Linked DNA regions of Coturnix japonica. The protein of the gene in region 7 purifies or fractionates together with the protein of the main gene of each other region. This does not show direct contact. Links are inferred from orthologs where the notes say so. Each region holds a gene or a part of one and is shown on either strand. Other genes may lie near its edges.

Evidence for each region.
Region 1: the proteins of protein POLR1D (region 7) and POLR3B purify together in Homo sapiens (affinity purification with mass spectrometry; 6 studies listed by BioGRID and IntAct, with this or other methods). This does not show direct contact. The link is inferred for Coturnix japonica from reciprocal best matches to the Homo sapiens genes POLR1D and POLR3B.
Region 2: the proteins of protein POLR1D (region 7) and POLR1B purify together in Homo sapiens (affinity purification with mass spectrometry; 5 studies listed by BioGRID and IntAct, with this or other methods). This does not show direct contact. The link is inferred for Coturnix japonica from reciprocal best matches to the Homo sapiens genes POLR1D and POLR1B.
Region 3: the proteins of protein POLR1D (region 7) and POLR1E purify together in Homo sapiens (affinity purification with mass spectrometry; 3 studies listed by BioGRID and IntAct, with this or other methods). This does not show direct contact. The link is inferred for Coturnix japonica from reciprocal best matches to the Homo sapiens genes POLR1D and POLR1E.
Region 4: the proteins of protein POLR1D (region 7) and POLR2E purify together in Homo sapiens (affinity purification with mass spectrometry; 4 studies listed by BioGRID and IntAct, with this or other methods). This does not show direct contact. The link is inferred for Coturnix japonica from reciprocal best matches to the Homo sapiens genes POLR1D and POLR2E.
Region 5: the proteins of protein POLR1D (region 7) and CRCP purify together in Homo sapiens (affinity purification with mass spectrometry; 5 studies listed by BioGRID and IntAct, with this or other methods). This does not show direct contact. The link is inferred for Coturnix japonica from reciprocal best matches to the Homo sapiens genes POLR1D and CRCP.
Region 6: the proteins of protein POLR1D (region 7) and POLR3F purify together in Homo sapiens (affinity purification with mass spectrometry; 3 studies listed by BioGRID and IntAct, with this or other methods). This does not show direct contact. The link is inferred for Coturnix japonica from reciprocal best matches to the Homo sapiens genes POLR1D and POLR3F.

What each region holds. Positions count from the first base shown.
Region 1 is NC_029516.1:49,181,310-49,184,632, reverse strand, and holds the end of POLR3B (DNA-directed RNA polymerase III subunit RPC2), read left to right. Parts: intron 1-2,244; coding exon 2,245-2,374; 3' UTR 2,375-2,823; downstream 2,824-3,323. UniProt on the Homo sapiens protein: Catalytic core component of RNA polymerase III (Pol III), a DNA-dependent RNA polymerase which synthesizes small non-coding RNAs using the four ribonucleoside triphosphates as substrates.
Region 2 is NC_029518.1:13,955,877-13,958,909, reverse strand, and holds the end of POLR1B (DNA-directed RNA polymerase I subunit RPA2), read right to left. Parts: intron 1,800-3,033; coding exon 917-1,799; 3' UTR 501-916; downstream 1-500. UniProt on the Homo sapiens protein: Catalytic core component of RNA polymerase I (Pol I), a DNA-dependent RNA polymerase which synthesizes ribosomal RNA precursors using the four ribonucleoside triphosphates as substrates.
Region 3 is NC_029547.1:66,747,554-66,751,548, reverse strand, and holds the start of POLR1E (DNA-directed RNA polymerase I subunit RPA49), read left to right. Parts: upstream 1-1,195; 5' UTR 1,196-1,270; coding exon 1,271-1,331; intron 1,332-1,407; coding exon 1,408-1,511; intron 1,512-3,333; coding exon 3,334-3,410; intron 3,411-3,995. UniProt on the Homo sapiens protein: Component of RNA polymerase I (Pol I), a DNA-dependent RNA polymerase which synthesizes ribosomal RNA precursors using the four ribonucleoside triphosphates as substrates.
Region 4 is NC_029543.1:2,009,030-2,013,327, forward strand, and holds the start of POLR2E (DNA-directed RNA polymerases I, II, and III subunit RPABC1), read right to left. Parts: upstream 2,801-4,298; 5' UTR 2,722-2,800; coding exon 2,665-2,721; intron 2,592-2,664; coding exon 2,417-2,591; intron 1,728-2,416; coding exon 1,612-1,727; intron 1,340-1,611; coding exon 1,259-1,339; intron 1,112-1,258; coding exon 1,053-1,111; intron 903-1,052; coding exon 824-902; exon of another isoform or gene 576-823; coding exon 510-575; 3' UTR 497-509; intron 220-496; 3' UTR 1-219. UniProt on the Homo sapiens protein: DNA-dependent RNA polymerase catalyzes the transcription of DNA into RNA using the four ribonucleoside triphosphates as substrates.
Region 5 is NC_029534.1:3,815,473-3,818,972, reverse strand, and holds part of CRCP (DNA-directed RNA polymerase III subunit RPC9), read right to left. Parts: intron 256-3,500; coding exon 115-255; 3' UTR 1-114. UniProt on the Homo sapiens protein: DNA-dependent RNA polymerase catalyzes the transcription of DNA into RNA using the four ribonucleoside triphosphates as substrates.
Region 6 is NC_029518.1:13,399,183-13,402,682, reverse strand, and holds the end of POLR3F (DNA-directed RNA polymerase III subunit RPC6), read left to right. Parts: intron 1-36; coding exon 37-149; intron 150-742; coding exon 743-886; intron 887-1,169; coding exon 1,170-1,277; intron 1,278-1,827; coding exon 1,828-2,019; intron 2,020-2,390; coding exon 2,391-2,468; 3' UTR 2,469-3,000; downstream 3,001-3,500. UniProt on the Homo sapiens protein: DNA-dependent RNA polymerase catalyzes the transcription of DNA into RNA using the four ribonucleoside triphosphates as substrates.
Region 7 is NC_029516.1:157,557,116-157,561,275, forward strand, and holds the start of protein POLR1D, read right to left. Parts: upstream 2,801-4,160; 5' UTR 2,686-2,800; coding exon 2,660-2,685; intron 1-2,659.

The DNA.
Region 1 (3,323 bases), about 110 Mb from region 7:
CTATAATGAGCATCACAGAAGAGACGGTCATTAAGAGAAACTCACGTCTTCCAAACTGTCCTTGTCAGTGATTCCAGCATTAATCAGACATTGCTGTGAGAAACCCTGTAGAAACATATTGTTTGGTGGATGCCATTAAGGACAATTGTCTGCAGGAAGATGTGCTCTGTTCCCAGACAAGGACTAGCAGTTGGGTATGTCTGTCTGCAGCACAGTAACAGTGCATCAGTGTTTGGGCCTGAACTGGTACTTTTCATAGAGAAGGGCACTGTTGTGGCAGTGACAGAATTTGTCCCTGTAAAAGGTACATGTAGAAGCTTAAAACCAGCTGCGTGCAAATCCTTCAGCTTTGCTGTGTTACAGTTATGCACTGAATTCCTTGAATGAAATTTGGTCCTATTTTGATGATGAGAAGTTACTCTTTTTGTCTGGGCATTTTAAAATCTTAAGACCAGTTCTGGCACTATTGCCTTTTCCCGTACAGTGTAGCAGCAATCTTAGGATCAAATGGGTCTCTTGGATACTTCAGTTTCTATGACCTCTGTTTAATGGTAACTTACAATTTGTGCACACTGTGTCTTGTAACCTTTCTGGATGATCTCTGTGCACATACAAAACAGGCCCAGAAGGGTCTAGCTTCAAGGTATGGTGCAGTGAGTAGTCTGGGTTCCTCAGCCCCTAGCTGCTGTAATCAAACACTAGACAGCTGCTAAACAGAAAAGTCATGACTCATTGAGCTTCCAGGGAGGTGGAGGAGTCGCCATCCCAGGCAGTGTTCAGGAGGTATCTGGATGAGGAGCTATGAGATATGGTTTAGTGGCTTGTGGTAGTGGACGGTTGGACTAGATGATGTAGGTCCTTTCCAGCCTTGTGATTCTATGATTTTAATGCTTCTCCTGTGGAACGGTGCAGCGGAGAAGCGTGTTCTAGAGAGCAACTAGCTCAGCCTACTAACCTCTCTGTAGTCAGATCTAGGTGAAGTCAAACCAGTTACTTGGAGCCTCATTCCTCATCATAAACTAGAGAAATGTAATTAAACCTTCTATACAATTAGTTGTCAAAGCTTAGATGAGTTTCAAGAGGAGAAAAATAAATAAATACCCCAATTCTAGAGCATAAGGAGGTCAGTTTTTAAGAAAAAAACTCTTGGGGAAGTATGTCCATTAAAGAGAAGCAGCATAGTTAGGGAAGAGTAACTGTGGAAGGACTAATGGTGAGTTACAATGGTGAGTTTCATAACCAAGAATCTTGCTTAACATGAACCAGCCTTATTATATCTGGCTGCAGTGACACCCTCAGGCTCTAGGTCAAGGTCACTGATATCAGAAACAAGTGAGTAAAGCACTGGCTTTATTGCAGATGATTGTTCTTAGACTCATTCTGTACCACAGAAGCGTGTAGCAACTTTGCTGCTTGGAACTGTCATGACATAATGCCGAGAATATAAATATGGAACATAAAAGCAGAAAGAGAGCTTTGATAGACCATTAGGGAAGTGCTGGGACCTCTGTGTTCCCAAAGGCCTGGCTTCATCAACTCTCTAAAGCCAGAAGATGGAGAATACAAGAAAATCAGGAAATACAGAGATAAGAAACAGAATAAAAAGGAAAACCTGTCTCCCAGATTGAGTAAAGAGTGCAAAAACTATGCATTAAAGCAGTTTTACCAGACCTCCATCTCTGCAGAAGATTTTGCTGTTTCTACAGAGGGACCTAAGGGGAGAGATGCTCCTTTTCTGATCTATAGGAATGTGGATTGGTTTGAAGCAGCATAGGGTGACATTGTGAATAAGGGGGGGGGGGGAAATCTCAACTAAATGTGAGCATTCATTCTTTCTGCCTCTTTTTTGTGGCTACCTACAAGATGGAAACTAAATCATGAGTCATGTTTCAGAAATACTTTGTTCTGTTCACCTTTTGTTATTATGTAATGCTGAATATTTGTTGGCAGTTATGCAAGTGATGAAGAAGTAGAAGTCGGTCCTGATAGCTGCTAAGCACTGTGATTCTAGTCCAAGAAAAGTGCGGGTTTAACAGGGAGCTCTTGCTGACTTCATTCAGTTTGATTTAAGAGCCTGAAGTTGTGACTGCCTTAAGTGCTAATGCGTCTCAAGCACTCAGCTCCTTCTAGGAAAGAAAGGCAGTGTTTAGATGCAGGTGAAAATGGTGGATGGTGGCAACTGCTCTTTTCTGCAAAGTTTTGCTTGTGCATAAACTCTGGCTTTCTTTTTACTTGTTTCCATAGGTGCCATTACTGCAAATCATCGTGTCACGTGTCTTCTCTGCGGATACCTTATGCCTGTAAACTCTTATTCCAAGAACTGCAGTCGATGAATATCATACCTAGGCTAAAACTAGCTAAGTACAATGAATGAACAAGAAAAAGAAGAGAAAAAGTACTTCATATAAATTGAAATCCAGCCTATTATCTGGAAGATTTTTTGGTGAACAGGAGTAACTCTAAAACCTAAGTGGGCAGAAGGAGGTGCAAACCAGTTGTAGGAAGTCTTTTGTGTGTATTCTACCTGTTTTAATTTGGCAGAAAACACTTCATCAGTAACATCCGCTAGGAGTAGTTCTGAAAGCATTTATTAGTCATAGTGAACAAGGCATGTGGGAGTGGTGGAATGAAGCCATGATCCAGCGAAGCACATACATCCCTTTCAGGGATGTAGCAACCCCTTACTTTGTTAGGAAGAATGTTCTGCTGGACAAGGGCGTGAGCTGCCCTCAGGGCACATCCTATTCAGAGAGGTTAAAAACATGTTTTACAGACTGGTGGAATATGAAAGGCTAATAAATATTTTAAATAATAGTGCCTGAATTTGTGGTGCTGTGTTATGTAAGGATGGTGCAGCCTTCTCGTAATGTCTGAAACATTTTGCTATCCCTAAAGCACGTTATTAAAGCATTCATTAGTCAGTCTTGGAGATATGAAAGAACACCTCCTAGAGGATTTGAAATAGTCATTTTTAGAACAGATTTTTAGGTGATTTTTTTTAATAAGATGCAAGGTCTAAAGAGACCTAAAGCAGCAGATGAACCAAGAGTTCACTTAGAACTATAAACTATCCTGAGTCCTTTCTTAGGAAAGCACATTTACCTTTTTAACTGAAGTCAGGAGAAAGTATGTGCATGTTCAGGTGCCTGAGAGAAATACACCACACTACATGAGTCAGAATGCAGAACATTGACTGCAAAAGTCCTGAGGTGCCCTCTGCCTCTTCACACAGCTGAACTGTGGATGCTGATCCTGAGACAACTACACCAGTCATGTTGCTGCTGTTCCCTTAGCTGCATAGGATGCACAAATGAGTACCAGCT
Region 2 (3,033 bases), on a different chromosome or scaffold from region 7:
AGCCAGGCAGCGCTATGACGGATCAGACAGGGGACTCAGCCCCCCCGGCCCCAGCCACCCCTTCATTTGCTGAGCTGCTGCAGCTGGTGCAGAGGGGCCAGGCCCCAGCCGGGGTGCGGTACCCCAACGCCTCACCCACAAACGACAGCCCCACAGCCTCCCGGCTCCCGCGGCCACCCAAGCCCTGGGAGAGCCACCCAGGCCGGCCCTGAGCCACTGTGGCAGGCAGGAGATCCCACCACCCCCCTGGCTGCCCTTGGATCCCCCAGGAGGACGCAGCAAGGCTGGCTGCAGCCACAGCTTTAAATGCTTTTTTTTTTTTTAAAGAAACATATAAAGAACTCTTAACATGTATAAAAATCTTGGTGCCAACCAGACGAGGCTCATACCTGAGGAGAGGCCACAGCCACCGCTGGGACTTGGGGACACAGTCTGCCCCAGGGCTGAGAACCTGCCTGTGGCCGTGCACCTCTGCAACCCAAGAAGCGCTGGAGCCAAGGTAAGAGCCAGGCTGGAAAGCCATCTGCTTTCTTCTTTGGGTCAAAATATTGAAATAAAAAATAATGACAAAAAAAAAGTGCAATGCACCGTCACTCCCAGCATTCGCTTCATGCTGTTTGTGACCTATTCATCTTTACAGCTGCTGCCAGCTCTCAGCAAACAGAAAACTCACACCGCTTTCAAGCCGGCGGCCCGTAGGAACAGTGATCCTGCTTGATTTCCACACACGTTGTAATAGCAATCTCTTACAACGTGCAAACACCAATGGGACCGCATTTCTGCACCGTGCGGCACCACCCCATCACAACGCAAACATGAAATTAACCTTGTGAACTGCCTGACAAACCTGAGAACTTAACCCTTGAAGCCCATAAGGGGCAGGACTAAGGCGTGCTTCCTCTCTCTCACTGCAGGATTAGTGCTCCAGCGTGAGCCTTAGCTTGATGTTCATGGCTGCCAGCTCGGCCAAGAAGTACCAGAAGACATGGGGCACTGGGATGACCTGGATGGTATCCATACTGCCACACAGCATGCAGGAGTACCTCCTGTTGCTTGCCACGGAGGAAGGTGGTGGGCGCTGGAGCAGAGGAGATAACATGCTGCCACAGCTGGTGCAGACATAGGCTTCAGAGGCATCGGAGCAGCTGAAGAGGCGGTCGTGCAGCAGGAAGGAGGTGCCGTGAGCCAACAACGCATCACGCTCCATCTCACCGAAGCGAATCCCCCCTTCCACGTTCCTCCCCTTGATGGGCTGGTTGGTGACGGAATCCCGAGGGCCCGTTGTCCTCACCTGGAACTTGTCGGAGACCATGTGGCGCAGGCGCTGGTAGTACACGACCCCCACAAAGATGTCTGCCTCCAGCTCCACGCCGCTGATTCCGCTGTACATCTTCTCTGTCCCAAAGAAGTTATAGCCCGCGCTCACCAAAGTCTCACCAAAGTACTTCAAGGCTGAGTTCTTCTCCGTGAAGGTGAAGGGAGTGGCATCGTAGTAGGCACCGTGCAGCGCTGCTGACTTCCCCGCCATGCTCTCAATTAACATCCCGATGGTCATACGTGAGGGGAACCCGTGGGGGTTGAAGAGGATGTCTGGAACCATCCCGTTCTCTGTAAACGGCATGTCTTCGACGGGCCACAGCTGGCTCAGGATGCCCTTCTGCCCATGGCGGCTGGCAAATTTATCTCCAACAGTTGGGTTTCGAGGAACTCTGACGGTGATGCAGGCCTTCTTGAATTTCCCAGTGCCACGGTCATTACTGCACAGCTTGATGTTGTCTACAATGCCGACCTCTTTATTCCTGTGTAGGTGGAAAAACATTGACAGCAAAGGTATCAGATGCGCTCGTCACTTTGAGCTAGGAAACGAAGCAAAGACACCAAACCACTTTTAAGTCTAATAAAATCTGGGGATCACGTTTTTTTGAAGAATATCATTCAGGGAAATCAGAGGGCGTAAGAATTGGAGCACAGCAGCCAAACAAAGGTATCACCCAAGTGACATTTGTTTGCTGCTTCTAATGCCAATGGCACAGCTGCAAATTCCACGTGATGAGGTAATGTGTCACTTGTGAGAATAAAGTACAAATCATTGAAACCTGGTTCATCAGTACCTCATCTCATCAGACATGCCAGTTGTTTTGCTTCAAGGCAGCATTTTCCTGTGCAATAAATTAGCGTTGTCCTCATGGGACGCTAGCATAAATGAACAGGTTCAGGGCAAAGCTCAGAGAGGAAAGCTCAGGAGCAGAGAGCAAAGGCACAGTGAGAGCTGAGTGGGCCCTTTGCCAACAGGTGTTTGGGGCTACGCTGCTGTTTCAAGTGAATCCTCAGCAGATGTTTCACATGCTGGATGTCTGCTGCAGGCTGAACTCTGAGTCAAAGCCTCTGCTCTCAACCCCTTCCAAGCCAAGCTTAAGATCCAAGCAGTGTGTGCAGCACAGTTAGAACAGCAGGGAGAGTTGCCCCTTCAGGTTGCAGGGTCTCTGGGGAAACTGGGGGCAGGAGGCAACATTGAGAGCAAGGAACCTCTCCATAGGAACCTAAATGAATACCTCATATAGAACCGTAATGAACAAGCGCTGTAGAGTTCAGAGGTAAAATGGGTGTACGGGTAAGGAACCTGAACTAAGGTGAGGCTGGCATAAAAGAGCTGGCAAACAGGAATACGGAGTAGGGAGCCAGAACAGGATCCACAAGGGAAGGAGCATAAGGCTGAGCTGACAGCAAGTTCTGGCAGTCCTCACTGCCACGTACTCAATCTTTCTGCTCTGCTCACAACCAGTTATCTCTCCAATGCAGTTTGAATGCACTCATTGTATAGTATTAATAGATAGCTTTCCCAATAAAAACTGGTTATTCTGTTAACCAAGCACTTCATAAGCTAATTTTCTCTCTAAGCATGAATAACAGTACTATCCTCACTCTACAAATGCTGCAGACAGGGCATGATGTTGTATTGACAACAGCTTCAGGCAAGAGACTGGCAAGTCTCTGGGGACCAAGCACCCAATTCAGTTAACATAATACTGCAGA
Region 3 (3,995 bases), on a different chromosome or scaffold from region 7:
AATACTTCCAAATGTCCAGCCTGAATCTCCCCTGACGCAGCTTAAAACCATTCCCTCTAGTTCTAAGTTCCAAGTTAGCAAGAAACAGCAGGTAGGGACAGAGGCGCTGTCACAGAATCACAGAATTGTAGGGGTTGGAAGGGACCTCTAGAGATCATTGAGTCCAACCCCCCTGCCAAAGCAGGCTCCCTACACCATGTCACACAGCTCGGCGTCCAGGCGGGTCTTAAATATCTCCAGAGAAGGAGACTCCACCACCTCCCTGTGCAGCCTGTTCCAGTGCTCCGTCACCCTCACTGTAAAGAAGTTCTTATTAAGGAACTTCCTATGCTGTACTTTCATCCCATTACCCCTAGTCCTATCCCCACACACTACTGAAAAGAGACCAGCCTCACCACTATGGCCCCCACACCTCAGGTATTTATAAACCTGGATCAAGTCCCCTCTCAGCCTTCTTTTCTCAAGGCTCAACAGACCCAGTTCCCTAAGTCTCTCCTCATAGGGGAGACGCTCCAGGCCCTTCACCATCTTTGTGTCCCTCCACTGGAGTCTTTCCAAGAGATCCCTGTCTTTTTTGTACTGGGGAGCCCAGAACTGGATACAATATTCCAGATGAGGCCTTAATAGGGCAGAGTCGAGTGGGAGGATCACCTCCTTTAACCTGCTGGACACACTCTTTTTAATACACCCCAGTATGCCATTGGCTACAAGGTGCTAGCAGCGTGTTAGCACCTCCCCAACCCAAGTACCGTCCTCCACATCACGGCTATGATGAGCAACGACATGAACGTGAGACAGGAGGGCCTAACCCCAACCCTAACCCTAACCCCAACCCTAACCCTATAACCCTATAACCCTATAACCCTCCTAGCATCACACCAGGACCCCCTCACACCCCACCCCTCGTGTAACGCATCCCATCGCTCTGTCCCTCCCTCCAGTGACCGCAGTGGGCACCGCCGCCGTTACAGACCCGCTCCAGGCTCCTCCTTCAGCACCAGTGAAGCAGTGCGGGCAGCGGGGCCGGCACACCGCCTGTTGTTCCCGTGCTGTTCCCCTGTTGTTCCCCGCTCACACCGGGCCCAGCGGCACCGAACCCGCCGCGCTACGACGCTCCGGCCCCGCGCTCCACCCCCGCTCCCACCCTGTCGCCGCGTCGGCCGGAAATGACGCCATATTGACGAGAGGATGTGACGTCATCTCGGAGCGCCCCCACCGGAAGTGCCGCCATTACGGCGTGGCGCCTGGCCTGTTCCTGTGTGTACCGGGTATGGCCACCGCCACGTGGAGATACCGCGGGGATCCCGAGCAGGAGCAGCCGGCAGTGCTGGGTGAGCAGAGATGCGGGATGGGCGGTGCGGTGCGGTGAGGTGCTGAGGGACTCACGGCCTGTTTTATCGCCCGTAGTGACGTTCTCCAATGGGCAGCTGCAGCGACCCGACGCCGTGCGGTTCTCGCTGTACCGGAGCAGCGAGGTGTCCAACCCCAGGAAGAGAAGGCGGAGGATCCTGGTAAGGCCCGGCATCACCGGGGGTGGGATCTATGGGGTCTATGGGGTCTCTATGGAGAATCTGTGGGGTCTCTGTGGGGAATCTGTGGGGTCTGTGGGGTCTCTATGGGGATCTATGGGGACTGTGGGGTCTCTATGGGGTCACTATGGGGATCTGTGGGGTCTCTGTGGGTCTCTATGGGGGTCTCTATGGGGATCTATGGTGTCTATGGGGGTCTATGGGGATCTCTGGGGTCTCTATGGGGTCTCTATGGGGGTCTCTATGGGGTCTCTGTGGGGATCTGTGGGGTCTCTATGGGGTCTCTGTGGGGATCTGTGGGGTCTCTATGGGGATCTATGGGGTCTCTGGGTCTCTATGGGGGTCTCTATGGGGATCTATGGTGTCTATGTGGTCTCTGTGGGGATCTGTGGGGTCTATGGGGTCTCTATGGGTCTCTGTGGGGTCTATGGCGTCTCTATGGGGGTCTATGGGGTCTCTATGGGGATGTATGGGGTCTATGGGGTCTCTATTTGGATGTATGGGGTCTCTATGGGGGTCTATGGGTCTCTATGGGGTCTCTGTGGGGGTCTCTTTGGGGTGTATGGGGTCTCTTTGGGGTGTATGGGGTCTCTTTGGGGTCTCTATGGGGGTCTATGGGGTCTCTATGGGGATCTAAGGGGTCTCTATGGGTCTCTATTGGGATCTATGGGGTCTTTATGGGGATCTGTGAGGGTCTATGGGGTCTCTATGGGGATCTCTATGGGGGTTTATGGGTATCTGTGGGATCTGTGGAGTCTCTATGGGGATCTGTGGGGGTCTTTGGGGTCTCTATGGGGATCTATGGGGTCTCTATGTGGGATCTTTGGGGTCTATGGGGTCTTTATAGGTCTCTGTGGGGTCTATGGGGTCTCTGTGGGGATCTGTGGAGTCTCTGTGGGGATCTATGGGGTCTCTGTGGGGATGTATGGGGTCTGTGGGGTCTCTATGGGGATGTACGGGGTCTATGGGGTCTCTATGGGGATGTACGGGGTCTGTGGGGTCTCTATGGGGATGTATGGGGTCTATGTGGTCTCTGTGGGGATCTATGGGGGTCTGTGGGGTCTCTGTGGGGATCTGTGGGTCTCTATGGGGTCTCTATGGGGATCTATAGGGTCTCCTGGGCAACCTGATCTAGTAAATGTGTATGTTTGGTGGCCCTGCTAGGCAGGGGGGTTGGAACTACATGATGCTTGAGGTCCCTTCCAACCTGGGTCATTCTGTGATTCTGTGAAAGTCCTAAAGATCATCCAGTCCAACCGTTCTCCTATTACCAATAGCTCCCCCTAAACCATGTCCCTCAACACAACATCCAGTCGTTCCTTGGGCACCCCCGGGGTGATGATCCTCTGGTTTGTAATGTTGCCTTCCCACAGCTCTGTGCCACTTGGCTCATTCTGACATCTAACACTTGTTCTGTAAACCGAGAAAGGCTTTGAGTAACTGCATCAAGCAACCTTAAGCACTGCGAGTAGGATGTGCAGGTGACTGGTACAGAATGCTCCTTTCCACTGCCTCTTTCACAGACTGCTCCTACTGCTTTAAAGGATGGTTTATTTATTTACTTTATAAAGTATAAAGTAAATGGAATATGTAAAGTAAAGTAAAGGAATATGATTTAGCTGAGAAATATCGGTAATGGTTGGACTAGATGATCTTGTAGGTCTTTTCCAACCTTGATAATTCTGTGATTCTATGGTGACCGTGGCAAATTTGAGCTTTGTGTCACTAGAGATACAGTACATGCAGGAAAATATGCACTTTCAAATAATGCACTCTTCAAGTAATTTTTTTCTTTGTTTGTCAGGTTTCAGAAACTGAAAGGCTTTCATACGTGGGGAATAACTTCAGCAGTGGATCTATGAAAAGCAACTCCCTATGCAGGTATGGGTAGCTGGCAACGCTGTGGCAGAAACAGGGAGGGGAAAGCAGAGGAACTGCACAAATAAAGTATTTTCTGTAGCCTTCTGTATTGGGGACTGATGAGTTCTCATTGAGACCATGGTGTGAATGGAGAGGATTGGGGCAGTTGATATAATCTCCTGGCAGCTGCACCATTTTGCATGTTGTGATCTTACACATAAGTGGAGTTTAGGTCTGCTGGAGGGAAGAAAAGTGAGAAGGTGTCTGCACATAGCTGAAACCTATGGACAACAGCATTATTCCTTCTTAACTGTTGTCTCGCTCCAATTTAGGAGTGAGGCAAAGGTTCTTTTAATAATGTTATGCCCGGCGTGAGATTAAGAAGAAGAGCATTCAAATGTTGATCCGACCAGTTTATTGGAAATAATAGACAATTGAGGGGATGGGGAAGGGAGAGTGACGAATGCCAAAATTAGGGTGATGGGGAAGGGAAAGTAGGCGATAGAAAAAGGTAGAAAAGAGCAAGAATTACGTTAAAGCGGGGAATAGTCACCTCCTGGATGCAGCAGCGTCCCGTAGCACGTTGTTAACGTTGGTCCGGGGCAA
Region 4 (4,298 bases), on a different chromosome or scaffold from region 7:
CTTCCCTGTGTCATTCAGTTGCTTCGAGGTGTTTTCATGGCGTTCCTGATTGAAGCAGAAGGATTTGCAGCAAAATCCGTGCTGGGAAATGAGGAACTGGGACAAGGAAAACAACTGCAGGGGGGCAGCAGGGACAGAGAACTTCCTCAGCCATCGAATGCAGACAGCTGAGAGCTGGTGGTGGGTGGGAAGATCAGATGTCACAGAATTCTTTCACAACTGGAAGAAATAAGTCAGGACGTGAATGAGCTCATGTCTCCCTCAGCAGCTGCTCTCAAAGCAAAGCCCTGCTGCTGCTCTGAACATTGAGATGTGCCTTCAGCTGTGATACTGAGGCACCAAACCCTAGTATAGCTTTGCTCTGATCCATCCCATACAGTTCCCTTCGCAAATCAGGAGGGAATCCTTTCCCAGAGCCAACTCACTTCAAGTCACCCCTAGAAAACCACAGCATAAGTTTAAAGCACTGCCCGTAGATGGGGATCTCACACATTACCTGAGAGCTCTGATCACTGCACCAGCCTGTAGGTGATGTAACGGCCTGCGGTCTCACTCGGTCTTATGATCTTCACCACCTGGAAGGGCAGCAAAAGGAGCAATGGGGGATGGCTGGTGTTACAGCAGCTGGTTCAGCAGGAAGCCAAGCCTGGCCCCAGGGCTATCTGCTGCCTTGCACACATCTCTACATAACCCATAACGTTCAGAAACAAAAACACTAACAAAGAGGAAACCTTTCCCATCTCCAAGCTCTGACACACTGTGCTGCAGCTCCCCATCCTGCCTGCAGGGCCCTGCTGTTTGTTATCAGGCTATTTGCTCTTACCTGGCCTCGCTTTATCCCGAAGTATCGGGCCACAGGATCCCCAGCCTGGATCCTGGGGAGTTGGTTCTCCCTCAGCTTACTGCATGGAGTCAAGGAGGAGCTCTGTGTCTGCTTGTCCTGAGGCAGGGCACAGCTAACAGAACATCACACACTCAAAGGAATCCATTTCTTGCCCAAGACAAGCACTCATCACACCCTGACTGCAAGGGAAGGACCAAACAAAGGATACTATCTGGCCAGCAGCTCGGTTACTTCTTCTTTTGTCATGACAACGTGCTCTGGGACCAGCTGTAAACAGGAGAGAGAAAGAGAGATCATAAGAGTCTGAGAAAGCAACCAGCTCTGCATAGCTGCAAGACTTGGGGGGAGGAACAAAGCTCTGGTGGGGAAACCCAGCACAGGGCAGGGCTGGGAGGGCCGGCCTGAATCACTCACCTCGTGTTCTGTGATGTTGATCAGGAGCTCCTGCTGTAAGAACTGCTCCAGGATGTATTTGGGAGCCATATCGACCAAGGACTGGGAAGGGAGAAGCACATCAGGTTGTAGCACTGATATGAGACAGTGTGAGCTCAGAGATGCCCCAAGATGAACAGCAGCAGGAGGGCAACACGGTGTCTGTGCTCACATTGATATGGTCATATGGGCAGAGAGGAAACAGATCTCTGTGCCCAACCAGCACCAGCTCAGTGCACTCAATGTATAAGCCCAGTATTAAGGCACAGAGCCTGAACTCTGCCTTTATGGACCCAGCACAGCTCAAAGAGCCCCGGGGCCACATCACACTGTACCTGCTTTGCCGATGGGGTCATTCCCTGCTGCACCACGATCAGAGCCCGCGTGATGTTCTCCTCCTGCATGCGCTGGCAATACATCTTGATGGTTTTAATGCCGACTTTGGGTTCCTCTGAGGGAGGAAAAGAGCAGGGTGAGATTGAACCAGGAGCACCACCAGACCCCAACCTGACCCCAGCCCAGTTCTAACCTGGTCCCAGCCCAGTACTAACCCGGTCCCAGCTCGGTTCTAAGCCAGTCCCAGCCCAGTCCCAACCCAGTTCTAACCCGGTTCCAGCCCGGTCCTAACCCGGTCCCAGCCCGGTTCTAAGCTGGTCCCAACCTGGTCCAAACCTGGTCCCAGCCCGGTTCTAACCCAGTCCCAACCCGGTTCTAACCCGGTCCCAGCCCGGTCCTAACCTGGTTCTAACCCAGTTCTAACCCGGTCCCAGCCCGGTTCTAACCCGGTCCCTACCTGGTCCTAACGCGGTCCCAGCCCAGTTCTAACCCAGTCCTAACCCGGTCCCAACCTCGTTCTGACCCGGTCCCAGCCCGGTTCTAACCCAATTCTAACCTGATCCTAACCCGGTTCCAACCTGGTTCTAAGCCGGTCCCAGCCCAGTCCCAACCCAGTTCTAACCTGGTTCCAGCCCGGTTCTAAGCTGGTCCCAACCTGGTCCAAACCCGGTCCCAGCCCGGTTCTAACCCAGACCCAGCCCAGTCCCAACCCGGTCCTAACCTGGTCCTAACCCAGTTCTAACCCAGTCCCAACCCGGTCCCAGCCCGTTTCTGACCCGGTTCCGACCCGGCCCCGTTTCTCACCGGGGAAGAACACGAACATCTGGTCCGTGGGATCATCGTTATGTGCCACCAACACGGTCAGGTCCGTTCGGCGCGGGCGGCCTTCGCTGGGTTTATCCCCGAACTGAGCTTTAAACTCCTCCAACGTCTGATCCAACTCGTCCTGAGTCACCAGGTAACCGCGGTCATGGCACAGCTAAAGGGAAATACAACATATGAGACCTGAAACCGGACCGAATCGAACCGAACCGAACCGGGCCGGCCCGCACCTGCATGATGGTCTTGCGGATCTTCCACAGCCGGTACGTCTCCTCCTCGTCGTCCATGTTGCCTCCTGAAGGACCCCACGAGGCTGCCCGCCTCAATGCCTGTCCACAACGAGCAGGCGGGGCTGCCCTGCGAGGGGTCCTTGACCGCGGGGAACGCTGGGAGATGTAGGCGGGGTGGAATGGCGGAAGGACACCACCCCCTTGTTGACACTGCAGCAGCCTCGCTGATTTGATTGGTGGTTTCGCCTGTCTATCACCCAAGGGAGCGGCTCGCATTGCGCAACTGCAAGAAGTGGGCGGTGCCTTCGCGCGTCCTAATCGCTGATTGGTCAAAGGGGGGGAGAGCGGTGGCGGGATGGGGTGGGGGTGGCGTTGCGGGCGGGCGCTGCTGTGCGGGGCGGCGGCGGCGAGAGGAGCGGGGCGGACAATGGTGAGTGGGGGGGGACAGAACAGAACCGAACCGAACCGAACCGGGTCGGTACTGGGGGGGTTGGGGGGGTTCGGAGCCGCTTTGTGACCGCTGGGCCCCGCAGTGCGCGCAGGCGGATGAATGGCGATCGGCCACCTCCATCTATGACTTCCACGCCACGGATATCGACGGCCGAGACGTGGCCTTGGAGCAATACAGGTCTATTAGATATATATATTATATAGACATTATATAGACATTATAGAGACATTATATGTACCATACAGCAACACAGCAATGGGCTGTATTATATACCCCCCCCCCCATTTTACCCCCGCAGAGGTTCCTTTTACCCCCTATTTTACCCCATTTTACCCCATTTTTACCCCCTATTTCACCCCTTTTACCCCCTATTTTACCCCATATTACCCCATATTTTACCCCATATTACCCCTTTTACCCCCACAGAGGTTCCTTTTACCCCCTATTTCACCCCCTTTACCCCCTATTTTCCCCATATTACCCCCACAGAGATTCCTTTTACCCCATTTACCCCCACAGAGGTTCCTTTTACCCCCTATTCTACCCCATTTACCCCCACAGAGGTTTCTTTTACCCCCTATTTTACCCCATTTACCCCCACAGAGGTTCCTTTTACCCCCTATTTTACCCCATTTACCCCCACAGAGGTTCCTTTTACCCCCTATTTTACCCCTCCAGGGGTTTCGTCTGCATCATCACCAACGTGGCTTCCAAATGAGGAAAGACTGCAGTGAATTACACTCAGCTTGTCGACCTGCACGCACGATACGCTGAGAAAGGGCTGCGCATATTGGCCTTCCCATGTAACCAGTTTGGGAAGCAGGTGGGCACCTCAATGCAAAGATATGGGGTTGTGTGGGGTTTACACGTGTGATACCTGTTTTTCCCCCCCCCCAGGAGCCTGGGGATGATGCACAGATCAAAGCCTTTGCGGAGGGTTACGGGGTGAAGTTCGATATGTTCAGTAAAATTGAGGTCAATGGGGACGGCGCCCACCCGCTGTGGAAGTGGATGAAGGAGCAGCCCAAAGGCCGGGGAACGTTGGGGAAGTGAGTGGTGATGGAGGGGGAGGGGGCAATGGGATGGTTCTACCCCTCTGACCCCATTGTTTTTCTCTCTCTCAGTGCCATCAAGTGGAACTTCACTAAGGTAGGGGCTGTGTGAGCACCCTCAGCTCTGATAG
Region 5 (3,500 bases), on a different chromosome or scaffold from region 7:
ATTTTACAATGATGCCCAATACAAGCTGAAACTGGTATCGAGTAAAAAATAGAAGAAGATTAACCAATTCTCTTCTGCCGAAATTGTTGCTGGCTTTGGTCTAGATTCCTCCTGCTACTGGCCGCCTCCGCCTTCAGTTTCCATTGCTGAGTCTCTCTGCTGTTCTTCTGGATCCCCTGGAAGAATGCTGGCGACTGTCTGGAGAAGCGACTCGATCTGCTCCTCTGTCAGCCTTTCCTCGCTTTCTTCTACCATCTGTAGGTCAAGAACAATCCATTGAAATCATTAAACCCATACTTCTGCCCTCAGCTCCAAACCAAAGGACTAAACTAATTGGGAAATACTATTTTCAATGGATGAAAGACATTGTAGAATGTTTTTGTAACGAGCTCCGACAAAGTGGAACTCTTGGAATTTACAGAAGAATGAAGAGCTCCATTGTTAACCACGACAACAGGCACTCCATAATGAGACCCTGCCTTCTTCAAAACAAGGAAAGCAGCACACATAACGCAACCTTTAATCTGCATTTCTGCTAAAACCTTTCCCAATCCATACATCCATATTTTGACTCAGGCCTTTCATCAGCTCATGTGCAGAGCTGCCTTCCAGATTTCTTAAGTTCCTGAGCAAACTGTGTGTTCTTGTGATAAGTGAAACGAGATAACACGACACTGGTTACCTGAACCTGGGTATCTCATCCAGCACCTCGAAGGAAAGTAATTGCACCATAAAAGAAGCCACCTGTGCCTGGAGCAGCCGTATGTTATTAGAACTTATTTTGATTGTAGATTTCCGGAGTATGAAAGCATATAAAAAGCTCTGAGCAACACAAAACGTGCTGTCATGAATCAACAATAAAATTCTATAAGATTAATTAGGGACCTACTCTCACTGTGGAGCTGCGGGAACTCTTATATCGCTGCTACCAGTAAAAACTGCTGCCCTAATTTATAGGCAGCTGCTAAAAGGAAAAGCTTGTCAGAGGACTGCAGGCATAAGCCAAATGAACTCTTCAAACGCAAATGAAACCAATTAAGACTGCAGGGTTTGAGATTTGCTTTTTTTATGCAAAGTCCTTTAAAATGTCCTTTGAAGTGTGGTGATTTATATTAATTACAGTTCCAAGTCAATGCAGGTTTAATCATTTCTAGCTGCAAATTATCAGTCATTCAGACACATCTTGCCTTCTAAAAACCAGATTGGTATATTCAATTACCTTCCCCCCTCCCCTCCGTGTCCTATGACATGTCCTATGAGTCCTCTTTGCACAATCGGGTCATCTTTCAGCAGCCATTACCCGCAGCCCCTTGATGAGAGGAAAGCACGCATGCTACAAACCACTCATGTAGCAAAAGGCAGACGAAGATCCATTTGTAGATGACTGTTTCTGGGAGCTGTGCTGATCAAAGGATGAAATCCTCTGTGGAGTGGCTTTCAAATCATGGTTAGCTCAGGAACTACTGTAGGACCCTGGCTTGAAAAATAGCTTTGGCTCTCATTCCTGTCAGCTGTCACAGTATATATTACAAGTTAAAATATGCTAAGAACACTCCTACCATTACCCTTCTGTGTAAGCAACTGCTGCAGCTATTGAAGTGGTACCAGATAACGGCCTTCAGGGCTGCTTCTCCGAGGTGACCATGTGGGCAGGTTAACTGGAATACCTTGGAGCATTAGCACTACGCAATGAAATGTGTTACAGTGCATAAATACAGTCTTTGTTGCCAATACTGCTGACACAGCCATTACTCCCCAGATGATCTATGCTGCTCAGTTTTGTAGAGGGCTGTGAGCCTGCTTTTTGGACAGGGTTATCAGTGTAGTGTCATTAACGATTGCTGCATTCAGCTTTGAAGGTGACAGCACCACAGCAGCAGGAGCTGAACAAACCTGACAAAGAAAAAGCCCACATCACAGAATCACAGGTTAAGGCTGGGAAGACCACTAAGATCCCCCACCCCAGCCCAGCCTCACCATTACCACCAACCCAGTCCCTCAGTGCCACATCTCCACAGTTCTTAAAACCTCCATGGACATCTTTGAGACAGGCAAAATCACCTAAAGGCTGATTTATCTCTCAGGGCCAATGTGTCCTGCACTTGTTATTGCTTCCATATCTTCAGAAAGCTGGCACCTTGCCTGGGTTAGATCTGATTTATTGGGTCATTTGTAGTCTGCTCTTCTTCCCTATTTAAATTTGATCTCTCCCTGGGTTAGCTCCATTCCCTTTCTTTGCCATATACTTCTTACAGAATCAGAGAATCATCAAATCACTTTGGATGGAAGGGACTCTTGAAGGCCATCTGATCCCACTCCCCACAATGCACACAGACACCCACAGCCCCATCAGTGCTCAGAGACCCTCCCAGCCTGACCACGAGTGTCTCCAAAGATGGGGCATCCACCTCTCTCCAGGCAGAGATCTCCTGTACCTTCAGGTACTTCACAACTCAAGTTAAACAGAAGGCTTTGATCAGAACTTTAACAGATAACAGTATTTCCAGATCAGCAGCAACCCTTCTCAACTTTTGCACTGATGACAAATTGTACTTACAAGTCTGATCACTGCTTCTAACATGCTGCTGAGTGCTGAAGAGTAATGTCCCAGCTCTCACTATGAACACTCATGTCAATGTCAATTGAACCGGTTGAACACAAGACTGCAGGACTCAGACACTGCTCAGGGCGCTGACTGATGAGCTCCTGTGGCTGCTCTGGCAGCTTAAGAAATGACACCCTTGCAGAAAGTTGATGAAAAAAAATAGCCTTCCATGTTCCAAGTGCATCAGTGCTGTAACTGATGTCTTGGATTGAACTGCTCAGAAAAGCTCCTTCAAAATAAGATGCTGGATCCAAGAGGCGATGCATCTCTGAATTCCCTTCTGTTGACAGATTTGTAGCATCTGTCAGAGGGAAGACGTCATTTGTTCGGTTGCTGCAGCAAATTCATTGTGGACTCACCTCTCGGTGCCTGAGATCCATGCATCCTCACTGCCAGCTCTTCCACCAGAAACTACTGATAAAGGTCTGTGTTTTGGCAGGACAGACAGTGCTGATATTTCAGTGCTATTTGGCTGCGATGCTACTCAAAAGTACAAAGGATCAAAAGCACCAGCTATAAAAATCAGCTCTTCCAAAGAACCAGCGTGAGCTTTAGGAAAACACAAGCAGCAAGGAAGCAGCAAAGCAGCACAGCAAAGAGAAAAACTCAAACATCAAGCACAGAGAGCGTGCAGACAAAGAGACAAATGAAACTGCTCTAAAGGAAAACAGACATCACAAGCGAAGCAGAAGGTGACTCAGATTCAACAGATGTTCGCAGTGTTCACTGATTTGCAACTGTAATACCTTTGCTATAGAAAGCAGAAGGAAGTAAGGTTATGATACTCAGAAGAGAAAACATGCACAAGGGAGAACAGAAGAGGAGAATAAAGGAACAACTGTGTTCAACATCTGACATTTCAGCAAGAATTTCAGCAATACAGGAAAAAAACATG
Region 6 (3,500 bases), on a different chromosome or scaffold from region 7:
TAATTAATTCTGTTCATTTCTGTGCTTCTTTAACAGGTATTTGGAGCAGGGACATCAGATACAAAAGTAATTTGCCTTTAACGGAGATCAACAAGATATTGAAAAACTTGGAAAGCAAGAAACTAATTAAAGCAGTGAAATCTGTGGCAGTGAGTAATTTTTGACTTGTTGCTTTTTAACATTTCCAAATGTTTGCTACATGCTGTACATGTTTGAACGTGGAACAGGGAGCAGAGAAACCTTGTTCTGCCTCCAGCTTTGTCACTGCATGTGGACCAACATTTTACTCTTAACATTTACAATGTATGTTTGAGCTGTACCAGATCCAAGAGGCTGTCATGTTTGATAAGTAATAAACATACTATAGCAAACAAATTAATAATATAAGTAATAAATACACCGCCATTAATATACTGTTCTATTACCATTCATACTGCTGTTATATCTTACGTACAAATAGTCCACATGCGAGAGTAGGGCTTATTTTTTTCAGTACTTTTGTTATTCTGTTGTAATGCTTATGCAGCATCCTGCTCTGCCTTACCTGCTTCATTACAAATCATTGGCATGTGCATATTATTTGGGCACTCTCCTGGTTTCTAGCTCAGGGCTTGTTGCATACTAGCAATGTGTGTCCATCTTATCTAGGAGCTGTACACATCAATCCAGCTGACTCAAGTTATCATTACTGTGCCTTAGATTTTACCTTCATCTATTCAGAGCCATGTACTTTCTCTACCAGGCATCCAAGAAGAAGGTGTATATGCTGTATAACCTGCAGCCTGACCGATCGGTGACTGGTGGGGCCTGGTACAGTGACCAGGACTTTGAGTCTGAATTTGTGGAGGTGTTAAATCAGCAGTGTTTTAAATTTCTACAGAGTAAGGTAAGTGCCACTACTAAACTGATCCTTCATTTGTATTTGCAAATAAATCTTTTATTTCTAAAGCCAATGACAGACAAGGCTTCAGTTTTCCATGGTACTTCCTGTGAGTGTTACACTTTTTTGTAACCTTTGCAGTGAGTGGATCCTTCCTTCTCCAAACTGCAGTGACATCTCAGAAATGGTTTACAAAACAGCACTTTGCACTCTGCCCTAAACTGAGCTGTGAAGAAAGCTCTGTCACTGAGTGCTGACTGCAACTTGTCTTTGTGGTTTTCTTCCTCAGGCAGAAGCGGCTCGAGAGAGCAAACAGAACCCTGTGATACAGAGGAACAGCTCATTTGCCTCCTCCCATGAGGTGTGGAAATACATCTGTGAGCTGGGTATCAGTAAGGTCAGCATCAATTCATCTTTCTGCTCAGAATTGTCAGTACATGATTAGCTGCAGGAGTTGGGTCGTGCAAGTTTGGTGAGTGCTCTAGTTCCCTGCAGTTACTGCAGTGGAGGTGGACTTTGTTGCTTTGTTGCTTTTTGAGGATTGCCAGTGGTGCTGTATGGGATTCCAGGATAGTCTGTATGCGTGGGCCATTGTTGGTCACTACCAACAGGCTTCAGTACTCTTGTCCTTTTCTTCCACAACTGTTTTGTTGTAGGACAAGAAATATATCGTGCTGAGATAATATAGACACTTGAGGTGCATAGGAAAATTCTTTTGCGCTAGTAAAGGTTAATGTAGTCCAAGAAAAAGTCCAAGAAGTCTTGGGACTTTTCTTTTTGTATCTACACAACCCTATCAAGTGCCCAGTTAAGAGCTGTACCTGTAATGTGGGACAAGTTAGAAGGGCTCCTGGAAATGTCTGTTACTCGTGGGGGTTTGCTCTTGTTTCCTCATGTACTTAGTGGCAAACGTCTTTCCTATATTTATTTTACAAATTGTTCCTTAGGTAGAATTGTCAATGGAAGACATTGAAACCATTTTAAATACACTAATATACGATGGAAAAGTGGAGATGACTATTATTGCTGCAAAGGAAGGGACGGTCGGCAGTGTGGATGGACAGATGAAGTTGTACAGAGCTGTCAGTCCTCTCATACAACCCACTGGATTAGTCAGGACACCCTGTGGACTCTGTCCAGTAAGTAACAAATTCTTTACATGAATAGGTGGTACATGCACATTTTGGATGCAGTCCTTCAAATGGTCAACTGGTGCAAATGAAGGTTATGTCTGTGAGTGATTCTTGTGGGTTTCTAAGCCAAGTGTGCTCATGATGCCCATGAACATTATGTTGCATCATTTATTACAGCGGGTTCTGTTTTGCTTTGTTGTGCTCACGTTGCTCTTACTCCAAACTGGCACTGAACTTCCTCGACTTTGTTCTCAGCTAGACTACTGTTTTTCTACTTAGAAAGGAAAAGGAAACATGAGGCTCTGCTACTTCTAGTTAAGTCATGCTCGCTGCGTACAGTTACACAGGTCTGACACAGGTCTTTCTTTCTTCCCTAGGTTTTTGATGATTGCCATGAAGGTGGTGAGATTTCTCCATCTAACTGTATTTATATGACAGAATGGCTGGAGTTTTAAGGTGAAAGAAAACTGTAAACTCGATTCGTTCTTCACAGCTAAGATGACAAAGCAGCTTCTGGTTGTGAGCTACTTCAAGATGTGAAGTTCCTCTGGCTTTTTTCTTTTTAAGTAAACATAAAGCTGCAGCACATCAGCTGTGTGAGCAGTCCTGTAAGTGGACTGAAAATCAAACAAGCATTGAAGATCAAGGCTGAACGTAGTTCCCATCTTGTACAAAATGTAAGTGCCTGACTTGAGAAGCACAACAGAACAGCTGTGTGGTGAGGCATTGCATTCAAGGATTGTGTTGAATACTCAACAGACGCTTACTTCGAAGGAAAATAAGTCATCAGCTGATCAGAAGAACTTGCTAAGAAGCATTGTCAAGAATGAGATCCTAAACTTTGCTTTCAGACTTAGAGTGCTGGTGGGAGCTTAAGACCTAAAGCTGACACTTTCTTCCCTATGTAAAATAGGAATTGATGATTCTTTACCATCGTTCTTACCTGCTATGATCTATGATTAAAACTGTATTTGATTTTTTTTCATATCTATTTTGGTGCTTCATTTACTCCACTGCTGTCAGAGTCTGGTGATGTTTCTGTTGCATTTTCTGTTGGACAGCTACTGTGATCTGATTATCTGATCTGTGCTTCTGTGTTCTGGCAGCTGCATCATGCACATCAGTGTCAGCTGAAATTCAGAATGTAGGTATTCTGTGAAGATGTGTTTTCCAAACGAGAAACAGCTCTTCTGTCCTGGTTATACAGGTACAGTGAAAATTTGTGTAGGCTGTTTCGGTGCCCTGAGGATTACAAAAAGCACCAGAGTTAGCTGTTTGTACATAAATACGGATTGTGATTGAAGGCATGATACTGGCATACCATCAAAAAGCACGCTCTTATCTTCCTGTCACATAGAGCAGATTTCTTAGAATCACAGAATCATAGAATCACAAAGCTGGAAAGGACCCACAAGATCATCTGGTCCAACCGTCCTCCCATTACTGCTGCTACCACAAGCCACTAAACCATATCTCGTAGCTCCTCA
Region 7 (4,160 bases):
AACCATCTTTCGTAGATCAAGATTGTAGCTTGTTTAAATATTCCATTTGTCAGTCTCATAAGTGCTATTTTCAGAACATTTCCACGCTGATATTCTCAACAGTGAAGATACCACTTAATCTAATCTGAAACAATATCAGCTTGCAGACCAATTTTTGCCATAGGAGATAGGGAAAAAATGGGAAATAATGACCTAATTACGACATTTCTATTTTTACTGTTAAAAACAATAGCAAGAAATGTCAATTAATTTTACCAAGGTGCAAAGCTTACTTGTTAAGGAGTGTAATTAGGACATCTGTGCAGCAAGATGGCTATGAATTCTCAACTCAACAAGAGGCTTCTTGTTACTAAACCCAGTAATGGTCTTGGAATTTAGAACAGTATCCCCTTTAGGAAACACTTACTACCGAGATGATGCTCCAAGAAGGCTTGGTAGGCAATTCTAATAAGATTCTGAAATATTTATAGCTAATGAGAGGCAGATCTGACTATAGAACAGTTTTGATACATGGTAATATAAAATCTCTTCCTTTACACTGTCAGAGAAACCTCATTTTTTTTTTCTCCCTGTGCTTCCAACAAAGACACAAAGCACAGAGACCATTTAGAAGGGGAGGTGGGGGAGGAAGAGATGGGGATATGCAGTAGAAATTAAGTAGCAAAAGCAAGTACACATGCTTATAGCAGAAACAACCAGCCTCTGGTAGCTGATCCATAAGGTTTATAGTAGTGACTATTGGGTATACCTTAACATCATCATTATACACTAACAGGATTAATCCCAGAATTTCCTTAGGATCACAAGATATTTCTGGCTTACAGTCTGGATCTGCACTGACATACCAGAGGAAAAAACACCAGCTTATGCTTCCAACAAAGGTTATTGGGTGAAATGGGAAATAACTCAGTAAAATGCAGTGAACAGTAATATTTCACTGATTTTAAGACTACTCCTTATTTTTTAAATCCATACTATGCAAGAGTTGCACTGTAACCTGCAGGTGAGCATTCCCCTTCTACAGAGACTCCTATGAAGTGAAGAAAGCATCAGATGCAAGATGAAGCATGAGTCAGACATGGAAAAACAAGGCAAGCTGGATGAAGACTCTTCCTAAACAACTATAGATAAGTAGCTTCTCTTAGCAGATCCCAGTCTGGAATGTTAAGAAACAAAACTTACTTCAGACCTGAAAAAACACATACAAAAATAGTTATAGTTCCCACAGTACCTCTGGACAGCCTGTGCCAGTGACGTGCCACTCCCTAAGTAAAGAATTTCCTCCTAATATCTGACCTAAGACTTCTCTCTTCTAGTTTAAAACCGCTCCCCATTTTCCTACTACTACCTGTGTAAAACTTTTAGTCTCCCTCCTGCTTATAAGCTCCCTTTAAGAAGTGGAAACACAAAGCACTGGCTGCAAGCAAAAAGTGCTTAGGTTTGGAGTGGCACTAACAAAAAGAGCATTTGTGTCTATATAGAAAGAAGCTTTAATAATTAAACTGATGATCTGAGTGAGGAAGTGCCCTACCAAGAATTAAGGCTTCTTGGAAAGCATTACATTCTCTATCCCCCCCACCACCCCAGTGGCATCATACGTATCTCATTTCAAAGATGTGGTAGATCTAAGCTGAAAGAAGTGACTTAACAGAGAATCACTTCCACTAGAAGGGATCCCTTAAGGTCACCTGCTCCAACCCACTGAAATGAACAGGGATATCTAGAGCTAGATCAGAGCCCTGTCAAGCCTGGCCTTGAGAGCTTCCAGGGACAGAGCATCCACCACCTCCCAGGGTAACCTGTGCCAGTGCCTCACCACAATGATTGTAAAGGAACTTCTTCCTTACATCCAATCTATGTCTCCACTCTCTTGCTTTGAAACCATATCCCCCTGTCCTACTGCAACAGACTCTGTTAAAGCATCTGTCCCCTTCTTTCTTATAGACCCCCTTCACATACTGAAAGGCCATTCTCAGGTCATCCTGGAGCCTTCTCTTCTCCAGGCTGAACAGCCCCAGCTCTCTCAGCCTGTCCTTGTAGGAAGGCATTCCATCCCCTGGGTCATTCTGTGGCCCTCCTCTGGATGTGCTCCAACAGCTCCATGTCTCTCCAGTACTTCAGGTGAGACCTCACCAGCACAGAGCAGAGGGGCAGGATCACTCCCTTGGCCAGCTGGCCATGTTGCTTTGGATGCAGCACAGGTTGGCCTTCTAGATTGCCAGGGCACATTGCTGCTCATGTTTAGCCTGTGATCCAGCAGTACCCCCAGGTCCTTTTTAGCAGGCCTTCCCATCAGCACTCTCAAACACATTTCTTAAAAGTTATGAGACGGAACCATGAGATTCTCAGCCATCACTTCGCTGTAACAGTTCCATGCAGCTGCTTGCAAAAAGTTCAGCCTCTACGCGTTAACCAAATAACTTTAACCACCCATTTATACGACTTTTAAATCTCTCGCGTATAAATGACATTACAAGAGCGGTCCGCATTACGCAGAGATGCGTAGCAATGGGCTGAGGGCTCAGGGCCGAGCACAGGCCGCACAAGCCAGGCCCTACAGGCCGGGAGCCGACACAGGACCAGCCCCAAGGCCTCACTGGCCCTACAAGCGCAGCCCAGAGCGAAGGAGAACCCGCAGCACAGTACGGCCGCCCCTCACCTCTCCAACTCCAGATCCTCCTCCATGGCAGACTACAGCCCGGCTCCTCACGCTGACACAGACGCCATAGCCGCTCTCAGCCCAGCTCCTCGAGGCGGAGCGAGCAGGCGCAGCTCCGGATCCGGCGGGGAGGGGGCGGTGCCGGGCGGGGCGGGGATGGAGCCCTGGCGGCAGCGCTGCCCACCCCGCCCCGCCCCGCCCCGCCCCGCCCCGGGTTGCGCTCCGTAGGGCGGAGGGTCCCTCCCGGCCCGGGGCTGCGGTGCGTCCCGCCTCGGCCGCTCCGCCATAGGCTGAGCCGGCCCCGCGCCCGGCCCCGCGCCCCGGGGCTGCCGCCGGAGTGGCGGAGCGCGGCGTCACTTACGCTGCCCCGGGGGAGGCGGGGAGCGGGGCCGGGCGGTGGGGAGGGAGGCGCCGCGCCGAGTGGCCGCCCGGAGTTCGGCTGCCGCCGTGAGGAGCCGGGTGCCGCCGTGGTAAGTCCGTGCCCCGCAACGCGCTCGGTCCCCTGGGGGCGGCCCGGCCCCTCGTTGCGCTCCGCGGGGCGGGGGCCTCCCCCGGGACAGGGCCGGGCCTGCGGCGGGGCCTGCGGGGCCGCAACAAGTGCGGGAGGGGGAGAGCAGCGCCGGGCCGCTTCGGGGAGTTGTGCTGGAGCCGTGACTCCGGAGTCGCGTTACCGCTGCCTGGGGAGGGCGGAGGGCAGGGAGAGTTGTGGGCAGCGCCGGAGCGCACACATCGATGCCAGGCTGCTCTTTTCTCTCCCCTCTCGTTTAAACCGAAGGTGCGGTTGGAAAACTTGCAGTGCGGCGCCTTGTGAACTTTCCCGAGGCGTGCCGTGTTACTGCTCCTCGCTGTGTGTTGGTGCTCAGCCGAGCGGGTAGGGAGTGCTATGGCACTGACAGGCTGCTCGGCCCCATGGGGCTCCTGTGACCACGCTCCCGGTGCGGGGCGTTGGTTGTTTCCTGCTGTAGGAATCCACCATTAAGTACGCCCGAGCTTCGTTTAATTCCTATTTTAATTACGTGATCTCGTTGCTCTCTGTGTGCGACGGGAAAATGACACGGATCGGCTTTGGGTCGTGTTTGATGCTCTCTGGAAATGCACTCCTGCTCGTAAACGCATCAGAGCTTTTGCTCAGCAGAGACCCAGATCCGAGCTGGGCCCCCGTTAAAGTAAATGAGTGATTTCTGTGTGTCTGCAAACCATTGTCTTCCTTTGGGCTCCACGAAGCTTTGCTGTAAGCTTCAATCCCACCGCAGATCAGGGAGCTTAGGGGGAGCATCAGATGGCTCCGGTTAGCGGCTGTGCACTTGGGAGCAAACACGGCGGTGCCATATGCTGCCGTGACTTCATTACCATCCCTCCAGAGACAAGGTTTGTGAGCACACCTTTGGGAACAACAAAACCGACTGGGACCTTCTTGCATTGACTTCTAAAGTGAGGAATCCCCTCTTTCCTGAAGCCAGTTCTATATGGTTGACTCCAAATGCAGGGAATTGTAAGGATT